3 linked regions of the Oryzias latipes genome follow. The protein of the gene in region 2 purifies or fractionates together with the protein of the main gene of each other region. This does not show direct contact. Links are inferred from orthologs where the notes say so. Each region holds a gene or a part of one and is shown on either strand. Other genes may lie near its edges.

Region 1 (4,233 bases), on a different chromosome or scaffold from region 2:
ACTGTTTTGTGCATGGGGGTTTGGCAGAGATGTTTGGATGGGTTGAGATGCCCCTTCTTACGCAACGCTGTACTTTATCCGGGCTTGTGACCAGCACAGCAAAATCCAGATTTGGGTCCCCCATGGCTACATAGGTAGGCTTAAGGGTCTTGCCAGAGGACCCACACTGGATGAAGCTCATGGCGTTTTGGGAAACAAACCCTGATTCCCCATTTGCCAGGTCTACACGCAGCCAACTGAGCCATCCAGCCACCACTCATCAGAAAAAAAAGAGAAAAAAAACTACAAAGAAAAGCAGTGTCATTTGAAAAATAACATTTTAAACACATTATTTGATTTGATTTGAAATTGTTTATTTCAAGCAATTAAGTAGAAATTATACACAAAAGCAATATAATCATCAGTTATACATTCATACAGTAACTAATCAAACTTAAGATAATTAGACATATTAATAAATATTGCTTGAAAGGGAGTGGAAGGAAGCAAACTTATATAATTCCACCCCGTTATACTATAACCATTTTATTACATGATTTATCAATATCCGGTTCCTAGGTTTTATCAGACAGAATTAAGAATCATAAGGTATTGATAAAGCACATGCCAAAGATGAATTACTTAAGTATTACGTGAAAAATAACTATTTTAGAAATCAACATGGCAAATGCAGATCAGTCATCTAAAATATATGCAGATTATGTTACTTATAAAAGTCCTTCATATGATTAAAACATAGTACTATATCAGTAAAGTAGACAACACTGTTTCAGGAATTTTTATAGCAAAATTTCATCAAGTATTAAAAGTTAAAAACATGTGCAAAATTATGCTACATTAGGAAAGATTTTTGAATCAATTTATCAATTTTTGGAGCAAGTGAAGTAATATCATTAAAAGGCAATCAATTTAACAATTTTCAATAAGTGATTAAGCATTTGTTTTACTTTTTTTAAATTTTTTTGTATTTTTAGTTTTTTATAATAAAGTAATGCTGTAAGGGAAAAATAAAAAGGGTCCATAATCTGTCGATTGTCCAAGGTTGGTATTATTTTTTTACAGTGTACAAAAAAATAACTTAACTCAGTTTCACTTATGTTTAAAGCATTGTTCAGGTATTATTACGTTGTAACAACAACAATAATAATAATAACCATAAAGAAATTAATTCATTGTGCACTCGTTCTTTGAGTGCGCTTTTTTGTTGTCCTTTACGGTAACTTCAGTCATTGCTGCTACCGATACGGATGCCTGTCTGGAAAAACGGAGGGTTGTTTCTTATTTTCTTCTTTTTTAAATTTCTTCTTTAAAAAAACATATATGAAATGACCATAAACGTGTAAAATAAAATAAAGGGACAGAAACATTTTAAAACTAAAAACTGACAGAGATGACGTGTACGTCCGGGTCCTTCAGACTTCCGGGTGTCGGTATAGGTGGTGAAGGGACTTGCTCGTTCAAAAAATGTTAGTTTTACCTGGCTTTAGTGGGATTTTCTTTTAGCAAATACATTTAAAAAGCAACAATATTCACTGTAATGGTAACAGCGCTGTTTTCATTTCGTTGTTAGGTCCAAAGTAACGTTTAAAATCACGCTGACGTCGGACCCCCGGCTGCCATACAAAGTGTGAGTACAACACACACACAGACAGACACCACCTCACCAGTCACAATTTAAATTTCCGTTTAAAATAAAGGCGGAATTCAAACATTTCCTTTTGAATCTGCGGTATTTTGAAGCGCCTATAAAGATGATGCAAAAAATGCGCGGCGATCTAATGTGTTGCAAAAGATCGAGGATAATAATTCACCGGTTTAACATGATGTGGCCATAATAACTGACCTTTTCAGCTTTATAAGACAGTTATCCTTGTGTATTTTTATTTTCAGAGGTGTGTTCACGGTTAAATAATGTAGATTGAGGTTTTTGAGTACTATACTTTATTGTAGGGTTTACTTCTGACCTTTCAATTTTATTTGGAAATTTATTTAGCAGACGGTTAAAAATTGATAACCAAAAAAACAAAAGTGCAGAATAATCCCTCTTATTGGGGGTGTTCATTATGACACAGATTTTTGTAATAACCTGCAAAGCCAGTGACTAAATTCAGTGGTTATAAAAAAAAAATCAAAAGTTCAACTAATCTGTTTTCAGGCCAATCTATTAGCTTCATGTCTGGGAAGAGTTCTACATCAGTGCATTCTATGTTTTATTGTTGCTTTCTTGTGTTTATGCACTCATTTTAAATTCATCATCAGTCTAAGAGCCTTTATTTTCTTTGGCACTTGCTAGATTTTTAGAGAAGTACAAACCAGATGGATTTAATAATCAGAATGGGATTATAGAAATTCACCTCTTTTTCCAATCACCCTTACATTCAGTAGATTGACATTTTGCATGTATTAGTGGAAATGTGACTATTTGGAAAGTCTGTTTATGACTATGAGTAATTATTCTGTCAAAATGACATCTTTGTTCATTCTGCTTTGTATTCTAATCAATGTATTTCTTCTATATTTTGTCATTTTTTTATTGCAGTATTCACTTGTGTTTAATGCTGGGAAGAAATCAAATAAATTGATCTATTTAAGTTTGAGAGCCGTTATAACTGCATTATCATTAGTGGATGTATAACTATGGAATTGTACCTTTCACTTTTTTATTTTTATCTTTCAAAAGTTTAATTATCTCAGGTTTTAAATGTAGGTAGAAGGGAGATTGATATATATTGTTGGTGTTCTTTAGTTTTTTGTTTTGTTTTGATTGCTTAAAAAAAACAGTTGCAAATACACGTTGACTCCAAGCCAGATATTTTGATAAAATACTTTGATAAAATATAACATCTAATAATTGATGTAGGATGCTTTTTATTTTTACTATTGTATTATACTTTAAATATAATATAATATAATATTTTCAGTTGTCTTGAAACTGATGCCAAATGGATAGTTATTGTTGCCTCACTTGGGATCTATTTGGTTGAACATTGTCTTTTTTTGTGACTGATAAATATAGTTTTGCTCTTCTCTCTACTTCATGACTCCACCTTTCCACCCAAATGTCCTGGTATTACTATATGTTCTCATATTTTTACTGTTTTCAACTAATTTCTTTATTTATTTTTAATTTTTTAAGGGGTTTACTCCTTATTTTGGCACTTTCTCCTCTGGGGAAGCAGCCAACATAAAAGTACATTGAGTTTATCACATAATTCAAGTTACATATGGATTTATATTCTCCTAATAGTAAGTTAATGTTCCCTCACTTTTCTCTGTCTTCCGATTCTCTGTATGGTAATCAGCATTAATGGAATGCTGCACAGCTGCACATCTGGGGGCTCTTTTAGTGTAACTGGCTGAAACGTTTAGAACACTGTGTGCTTTTTAATCAAGAACGAAGACACCGGCCGGGGACAGTAATTGCTTTTACTCAAGTCCATTAAAAGCTCAGGACAAAACGCAAGGAGAGGGAATATCAAGGAACCACTTCTTATTCCCTAAAGTTATTCCCCACATTTATTTATGTTGTTTTTTGTTTTTCTCCAGATTAAGTGTTCCAGAAAGTACGCCATTCACTGCAGTATTGAAGTTTGCCGCTGAGGAGGTAATCTCTCCGACTTTTGCTTAAAAACAAAAGACAGATTTTTACCAGAATAAATGAATGACATCAACGTTTCTATGTTTTTAAGTTATGCGGAAAAAAAATCTCTGTAGCAATAATATATTTTCTAGAAAACGGAGTATTAGAGTTGCCGTAAAAATAAACACATTTATGAGAATAAGGTCCTAAAATTATCGGAAAATGTTGTATTTTATTACAAGAATAAAGTTGTAAAATTATGAGAAAAAAAAAGTTTAAAAAAATTAGAATAAAGTCATAATTTCACAAGTTATAGGTTGAGAATCTTCAAATTAAAGTTATAAATTTATGAGTCAAAAGTCTGTTTACTAGAAAGAAACTAGGCAGTTACTTTAGCTTTGGTTTCACACACAAGGAAATGTTTAGTATTTCAGTGAGTCAACGTTTTATTATAAGTATAAGGACATTGAAAAGAATTTGCAGAAAAGCTGCACCGCTTCAGACGAAGATTCTTGACCCACAAGGAGTGGATTTCTAGCCACTCATGCCGTGGAAGATATAGATGCAGAGGTCCAAATGCATTATGGCACATGGATTCCTATGATGAACCGATGGCATCGCCATAAACGGCTGCATTCATGCATTTGATCAGC
Region 2 (3,652 bases):
AATTCAAATAATTGTCGTTTAAAGATCACCGCCTTGTTGTGTTTTGTTGTTTTGAATTTGCAGACATTCACTACTTTCACTGTTTGAGGATCGTTGAGATCCTGAAAGGAACTGAAGCTTCATCAAAGAACATCTTCGGACGATACTCTTCTCAAAGGATGAAGGTGGGAGGAGTCACACAAGCTGCAGTCGAGCTTTTTCCAAAAGTTCTTTTTTTTTCTTATTTGTAAGTTTTGTTGTTTGAAAAGTTTAGGGAGGAATGTTTTTTGGTTGTTTCAGGACTGGCAGGAAATTGTGTCCCTTTATGAAGCAGACAATGTTTATTTGGGTGAGTTTGACCGATCAGTTATTGATGTCATGGTAATGTAAAATTAGAAATACCAAAGTCAACTTGAGGTAAATTGAATGCAGTTGATGGTAAATTCTTACAGTTCAAAAATCTGAAATTTGGAGAAAGATTTCATCTCCAGCAGAGAGAAAATCGAAGTACTGTTGATTTGTTTTTGTGTGGGTTTTGTTTTTGTGTCCCAGCGGAGGTGGCCAGCCTGCTGATTCGTAATGTGAGCTATGAAGGTCCAGCTCTGAAGAAGCAGCTGGCTAAAGCTCAGCAGCTGCAGCAGGAGCTCAGCAGGCGGGAGGTGGAGTGCCAGAGCTCTGCAGCGGAACTGAGGGAGCGCTACTACGCTGCCTGCAGACAGTACGGCATCTCTGTAAGTCCCAGAGAAATCGCTAACAAATTTGGATCGGTCTTTTTGTCAAGACAGTTTCTTTGTTGTTTTTCCATCGACAGGGTGACAGTGTAGCACGAGAGCTTCAAGCTCTGGTGAAGGACTTGCCAGCGGTTCTGGAGGAAGTTGGCAGGGATGCAGCAAAGTTAGAGGAAACGATTAAGCTTTACACTGCCTTTACACACTTTTTGTGTGACTGGTGAGTGTGAAATGAAAGCCACTGTATTCATAAGGGACATTTTTGCACTTCATCAATATAAAATACACACTACGTACCTTCCGTGCAGCTGTTCTGTTCAGTAAAATTGAGTATTAAGCCACAAATAGTTCCACTGGTTAATTCCATTAATTAAAGCATTCAAATAAAACGATGAGTCTGTAAAAGCACCGCAGTGGTGGTGTCCTCGGTCCCATAAGATCCCATGTTGTGTCTTCCAGGTCTGAACCTGTCCTGCCCTTGCTGACCTTTGTACAAAAGAGAGGGCACGCAACATTTTATGAGTGGAGAACCGGGACAGCCCCGTCCTCCGTGGAAAGGCCATCGATGGGGGAAACAAGTCCTGAGACCCTCTCAGAGGATGCGGTTGGTTTCAACATCTCTGTAGCATCACAGACATTTTAAACACCTGACTACAGCTGCCAGAATGCTAAAACCATTTCATTTTCATACACAAATTCCTCATTCAGCTTACTACTTTGTTAGAAAGAGGAAAAAACTTTGATTTAAGCAGAAGAAAAGTGGAACTTTCTGAAGAAAAAATGTCTGATGATCATATTAATAATTAGCTGAAAGAGGTTTATTATACAACAAAAATAAATGCTAGTATTTTAAAGAACTGTAAATTCATGCATTTATCCATTTTTAGTTTTTTAAGATTCAAAATGAATTGGGGTTGTTTTTTTGCCCAGCCTCACACATCCCATTGTTTGTAAATTCTGTGGCATTTTCTCTCCTTTTTTTTTTTATAAAGAATCTTTCATATCATTACAGTTAGAAAAAAGTTGAAGGTTTTGAAATTCTGAAAGTTCCTTCAAAAATGAGATCTCCTCATGCATGTAACATTACTTTATTACTAGGTGTTGTGGAGAAGTTTGAGGTGCTTTTATGAACCACAGTGCTGCACCCTGTTTTTAAAATCTGCTGTAGATTGACTGGGGCAACTTTGGAAAAGCAGAAGGTAACTCAGTTGTGGATGCTGGCATCACAGACTGGGGAATCAGTCTGGAGCCGACTACAGAGGTAAGACTCATGCAGTGTTAGAAATGATCATCTATTCAATACAATAAACACAAAAAGTGTGATAAGTTTAGCATTTTTCTATTTAAGCAGTAAAAAAATTAGAATGTGAGACACTACATTGCTGCTCATTCTTCTGATTCCTCTTTTTCTTTTCTTACTAACTGAATTAAACAGTTTTTGAAAAACTGAACATTGTGGGGGAAATTGAGTAACATTGAAGGAAACACATTTTTAACCCCTTTTTGGACTCTTTCTGTGTACACAATGCAATTCAAAAGGTCACTAGTTTTCACTAGATCACTTTTTCATTTTTCTAATATTCTTAAGACTGCAAGAACTGACGTTTTTCTCTATTAGAAATCATTTCAATGTTTTATTCTATCAAATAAAAAAACCAAATGAAAAGAATAAAATCATAACTCATTTGTATTTAAGCATAAAATATCTGTCATTCTGTTGTTATTTATATTATTCATATTAATCAGATACTGTTATAGTTTTTACCTTCCTAAAATGTAATTTAAACATGGATGTATTGTAAATAAACATAAAGACAAATAAGACCTGAAGTTGGCTTTAGAGTTATTGTTTATTTCTAATGTAGACCTGGTTTTGGTGCACTATTATCAACACTGATCTGTTGGAAATAAAACCCAAGCGAATCTATTTTCTATCCACTTTGATGTCTGTGTGCGATAAAAGCTTGAATAGAGCAGCCGGTCTTCTGTCTCCTTCATCAGGACGCAGCAACAGGCGCCATCGACTGGGGGGACACAGAGGGAGCTCCCATAGAAATTGAAATCGTTGACATAGGGACAGACTGTACGTCAATGAAAGAACTCCACATCAAATTCTGTCCCATGCTCACACTATGAATGGCCTGGACTCGAGTAATGAGTGTGTCATTTTTTAGGTCCCGAGGGTGTGGCGAGGGGAGAGGATGCGCTCGGTGTGCTGGAAAACTCTCAGTCACGCAGTCAGTTCATTGATGAGCTGATGGAGGTAAACAGGCTCCCAGATCCACGCGATTCACATCTCGCTCATTTCCTTTGTGACCAAACCAAACTCCTGAGTCGCGCAGGAGAAGGCTTGCAAACAATTTAATGGCTAATTCCCCAAAAAAAGAACAAATGAGCGATTTAATGTTAGGGGTAATGATTGACTTAAGAGTGTAGCTGGAAAAAAGAACGAGGAGTGTGCACAATAATAAAATTTCAGTAAATGTTTCAATATTTAAAAAATTTTAATCAAGAAAAATAAATTCCTTATAAATAATAGGTTGATAGTTAATGTGACAGATTAGAGAAAATAACTAGAATTGCGTTTTTTTTGTATGCTTTTTAATAACTAAAAATAAAAAATTAATAACTTGAAATAACTAGAATTAAGGCCTGCACGGTGGCGCAGTGGTTAGCGCCTTTGCCTCACAGCAGGAAGGCCCCTGGTTCAAGTCCCTGCTGGGGGACCCAAACCAGAACATCAATGGGGGGGCCTTTCTGTGTGGAGTTTGCATGTTCTCCCCGTGCATGCGTGGGTTTTCTCCGGGGACTCTGGCTTTCTCCCACCGTCCAAAAACATGCTTCATTGGTTAATCTAAATTGTCCCTAGGTGTGAATGTGAGAGTATGTGGGGTGTGTGATTGTGGACACTCTACCCTGCAACACTGGCGACCTATCCAGGGTGC
Region 3 (3,610 bases), on a different chromosome or scaffold from region 2:
TGGGTTTTTATATTATTTTTGGACAAAACTGAAACATCATTTTACAAAAAGAAAATATAAAAATGAATGCCCTAACTAATGTTTAAATTTTATGGGTCTTGGTTCAGGTATATTTATTATTTTATTAGTTTATTTGATAGGTGAAGTGTCTTGAAATTGTTTAATGCTTGTCTAAATTGCAATATTTCATCACAGCAGTACAGCAGCTTGAAGGAATTTCTATAATAAGAAGATAAATATTGAATTTAGTCAAATATCAGCTGTTAAAAAATGTTTCATTCAATATAAAATCTCCCTTTAACAGGAGTGTTTTTTAGAGTTTAGAAACCATTTAATTCTTTATTTTTCAAAATTACATCATTTTAGGATTTTGTTAGGTTTAGAGCTAAATAAATTTTTGATATGAAATTAATATTTACAAAACATTTGAAAATGTGTCTCTAAAGACAAGAAACACAGCAAAGTTGATCAACGTAAACTTCAGAGCTCAAACATTCTCAACAAAAACAGTAGAACAGTGTTGGCTGTTTTTACATTTTATTGATAAATTATCATTTTTAAAAAGACACACAAACCATTTGTTCCTTCTATTCCCACTACTTCGTTTTTTTAATACGTTTTTTTCTGGTTTATTGTCATAATCACATTCAAAACAAGGTTAGACGTTGGAACTGTGCTCAAGATTGAGTTTTTGTTTTTAATATAGAGATGCTAGCATGGAAGGAGTTCAGAGGAGATTGGAAAGCAGCAATTAAAGCGGAGGGAGGAGGTTTACATTCTAACCCCCAGGAGGAAGGAGTAAAGATCTCAGCTCCCTCTGAAACAAAACATAAAGAAACCTCAATGCCATGACGGAGTCCACATGCAGCTGTGAGTTACTCTGGTTCTGGGTTTGGAAATAATCTTAACGATTGCAGCAATTTAGGCTAAGAAAAATGACCCAGCAGGGCTATTGCTCCTTAAAGCTGCAAACATATAGGAAAAGGAAGAAAAAGAAAAGAAAAGAAATCAGAGGTGGGCATAATGCTTTTTTTTAACCTTACAGTAGGCAACATAATTGGCACACATGAGTACATAAAGACAATTACCTTTAAAAGTTGATCGTTTGGAGCATTAAAAAACAAACATTGTTACGAGCACACTGGCAAGGTTGCAGTGCAGCATGAATGTGTATCTCACTGCAACTCCAGATCAACTAGCAGCAAAACCTCACTCAAAATTGCATAAATCATAGTGCAATGGACAATGATTTCAGGAGGGGGTTTCATTTTGTTCTGGTCAGTAACAAGACAAAGAAAGAGTACTGTCAGGCCACTTAGGCAGTTAAAAACTGGTCCAAAAATCCTAAACAAAACCATATTGTTCTACAAACTTAATAAAAAGTAGCCAGATCAAATTTGTCATTTATCTAAAAAAAAAAAAAGTGCTTTTTTTTTTTTTTTTAGTAAAACTTGAGCAAGATTTCAAATCTTTGTGGACCAGCTCTGGATTGACCTTCAGGAGGAGGGTTTGCACAGTGACTCAGAAAAAATCCAGACATGAGCACGACAGGAGAAATCCCCAGCATACACTTCTTCTGGTATCAGACGTGCGTAACATCTCGGAAGTCTGAAGAGGTAAGGAAAAAAGAAACTAAAAAGAGGGTTTGTCGTTTGAGCCGTGCACGTCTTTACTGTTCTCTAGGCGAAGCTGTTCTCCGGGTAGCTGACTTTGATAGCTCCCCAGTAGCAGGCTCGTATCAGACAGATGAGGCCCAGCAGGTAGGCAAATGCCCAGGACACATAGGTGGCGTTGTAACGGCGGGCAAAACCTCGAGTCCCGACCTAACCATGGAGGAGATTTAAAAAAAAAAAAAAAAGGGGGGATCAAAACATGGTTGACATTCTCTTACTAATACTGACGATTTTGATTTTATTGCAAATCTGCTCAAATGTAAAATTAGATTAAATGGAAATGTGAAATGGTCTCTCTATTACCCATTCCTTTCCGCTTGTTTAGTGGTAATTTATTCATTTATTCAATTTAATCATTTTTTATTTTTTAAAGAGGAATAAAAAACTTGCTAAAATCATTTCATTTTTTTTACAGCCATAAAGTCAAATTCATAAAAGAATCTGATGTTAACACGATTTTAAATAGTTACCCAGCAAAGGAGAAAAACTTAAAAACCTTTAAGTTTTTCCCAGAGATGAGCATCTCAGAAGTCAAATTCATAAGCATAAAGGGAAAACATACTCACTGTTAAACCCACACCAATGAAAATGCAGATCATTCCTACAGTAATGTAAGCGCAACAGCGCCTCCTGGGGAGCGCACTGCCAACAGACGATCTACAAAAGGACAAGAACAAAATGAAAACAAGGGATATTTAGGATTTTTAAGAATAAAATCATTTTTATTTTAGATAACACCAGAATTTTACTTAATAAAATGCATTTATTTTTTGCATGACAGTAACACCTTCCATTTCCTTCTTCCTGGTTATTTGCTTCAAATTACAAAAAAGCTGCTCCATGAAGACCTCATAGGTCACTCATGAGGACAGTCACATGTCCACCTCCCATCGTTTTCATTTTCATTCATACTCCAGCCAAGCATTTACAAGTCGACTACCCTGAAGCTGCTGCCTCTGCTGCAGCCCCTCACCCACTATAACTTTTATTCCCCAACATCTCACATGGCTCTCATGTGACTGGACTCCGACATTCTTCAGGGATTGCTGCTATTCAGATGCCTTAGAGGGCCCGAATCACCTGATATTTAACGGGTTTTTTTTCTTTTAAACTCTTCCTTCCTTCTTGACTTCTTCCGTGCTCCACTCCGTGTTTGAACAGTGATCACACGGCAACCACACTTTACAATTTACAATATCTAGGAATAACTTGATTTACCTCAACTCAGTTTTGGAAGACAGGTTTTTGAACATTAGTCTTAGTTACTCTGCTAGTTTGACTTTTCTAGGAGGGGGGCAAACATTTTAGAGTCATTTGCAGCATCGTTTCCCATTACTTTACTTTTTCTTATAATTAAGTTACATTTTTACAAATGAGAAACAGTGACAAATAAAATGTGGTAAGAAACAAAATAATTTTGAAGTAACTTGCACAAAAATGTGTTTATTGGCAGCATGTTGCTTTAAGACCCACTCCGATGGAAATCCTGCTTTTTAACATTTTCTTTTGAAGAAAACTAAGCTTGAAATTGCATTTTAGGTCTTTCTTTATTCATATTATTTTGACTGGTGTGCAGACAAAAAATGCCATTGAAAAGGAGCTTTTAGTGTGACGTAGAAAATACGCTGGGCGGGCCACAAGCTCCCTGCTCAATAACACTGAGGGAAAGTGGGGGCGGGGTTGCTCCGCACCAACAGTACCGCCCACGACTCAGAGGTAAATTTCTAATTTCTAATTTCCCAATTTCCCTTCTAACTATTGCCACGCTGCAGAAACTATGTCTTAGAAAATTACATGTTTTGGGGGTTTATTTAGCAAAAAACGGCATAATCATAATTAAAACATCACTAGGAACATCACTGGAGTGGGACTTTAAGTTGAGCTTCCACTAGAATCCTAGAATCCATTGGAATGTTTTGTACTTTGATCATAACTGC

What was found.
Region 1: the proteins of cdk5rap3 (region 2) and ufm1 purify together in Homo sapiens (co-immunoprecipitation; 3 studies listed by BioGRID and IntAct, with this or other methods). This does not show direct contact. The link is inferred for Oryzias latipes from reciprocal best matches to the Homo sapiens genes CDK5RAP3 and UFM1.
Region 3: the proteins of cdk5rap3 (region 2) and pip4p2 purify together in Homo sapiens (affinity purification with mass spectrometry; 3 studies listed by BioGRID and IntAct, counting the BioPlex papers as one, with this or other methods). This does not show direct contact. The link is inferred for Oryzias latipes from reciprocal best matches to the Homo sapiens genes CDK5RAP3 and PIP4P2.

Annotation. Positions count from the first base shown.
Region 1 is NC_019872.2:10,431,308-10,435,540, forward strand, and holds the start of ufm1 (ubiquitin-fold modifier 1), read left to right. Parts: upstream 1-1,346; 5' UTR 1,347-1,464; coding exon 1,465-1,466; intron 1,467-1,570; coding exon 1,571-1,627; intron 1,628-3,546; coding exon 3,547-3,604; intron 3,605-4,233. UniProt on the Homo sapiens protein: Ubiquitin-like modifier which can be covalently attached via an isopeptide bond to lysine residues of substrate proteins as a monomer or a lysine-linked polymer.
Region 2 is NC_019877.2:19,050,141-19,053,792, forward strand, and holds part of cdk5rap3 (CDK5 regulatory subunit-associated protein 3), read left to right. Parts: intron 1-63; coding exon 64-164; intron 165-279; coding exon 280-328; intron 329-531; coding exon 532-710; intron 711-790; coding exon 791-927; intron 928-1,166; coding exon 1,167-1,311; intron 1,312-1,875; coding exon 1,876-1,968; intron 1,969-2,708; coding exon 2,709-2,790; intron 2,791-2,881; coding exon 2,882-2,970; intron 2,971-3,652. UniProt on the Homo sapiens protein: Substrate adapter of E3 ligase complexes mediating ufmylation, the covalent attachment of the ubiquitin-like modifier UFM1 to substrate proteins, and which is involved in various processes, such as ribosome recycling and reticulophagy (also called ER-phagy).
Region 3 is NC_019869.2:23,150,181-23,153,790, reverse strand, and holds the end of pip4p2 (type 2 phosphatidylinositol 4,5-bisphosphate 4-phosphatase), read right to left. Parts: intron 2,331-3,610; coding exon 2,240-2,330; intron 1,824-2,239; coding exon 1,680-1,823; 3' UTR 521-1,679; downstream 1-520. UniProt on the Homo sapiens protein: Catalyzes the hydrolysis of phosphatidylinositol-4,5-bisphosphate (PtdIns-4,5-P2) to phosphatidylinositol-4-phosphate (PtdIns-4-P).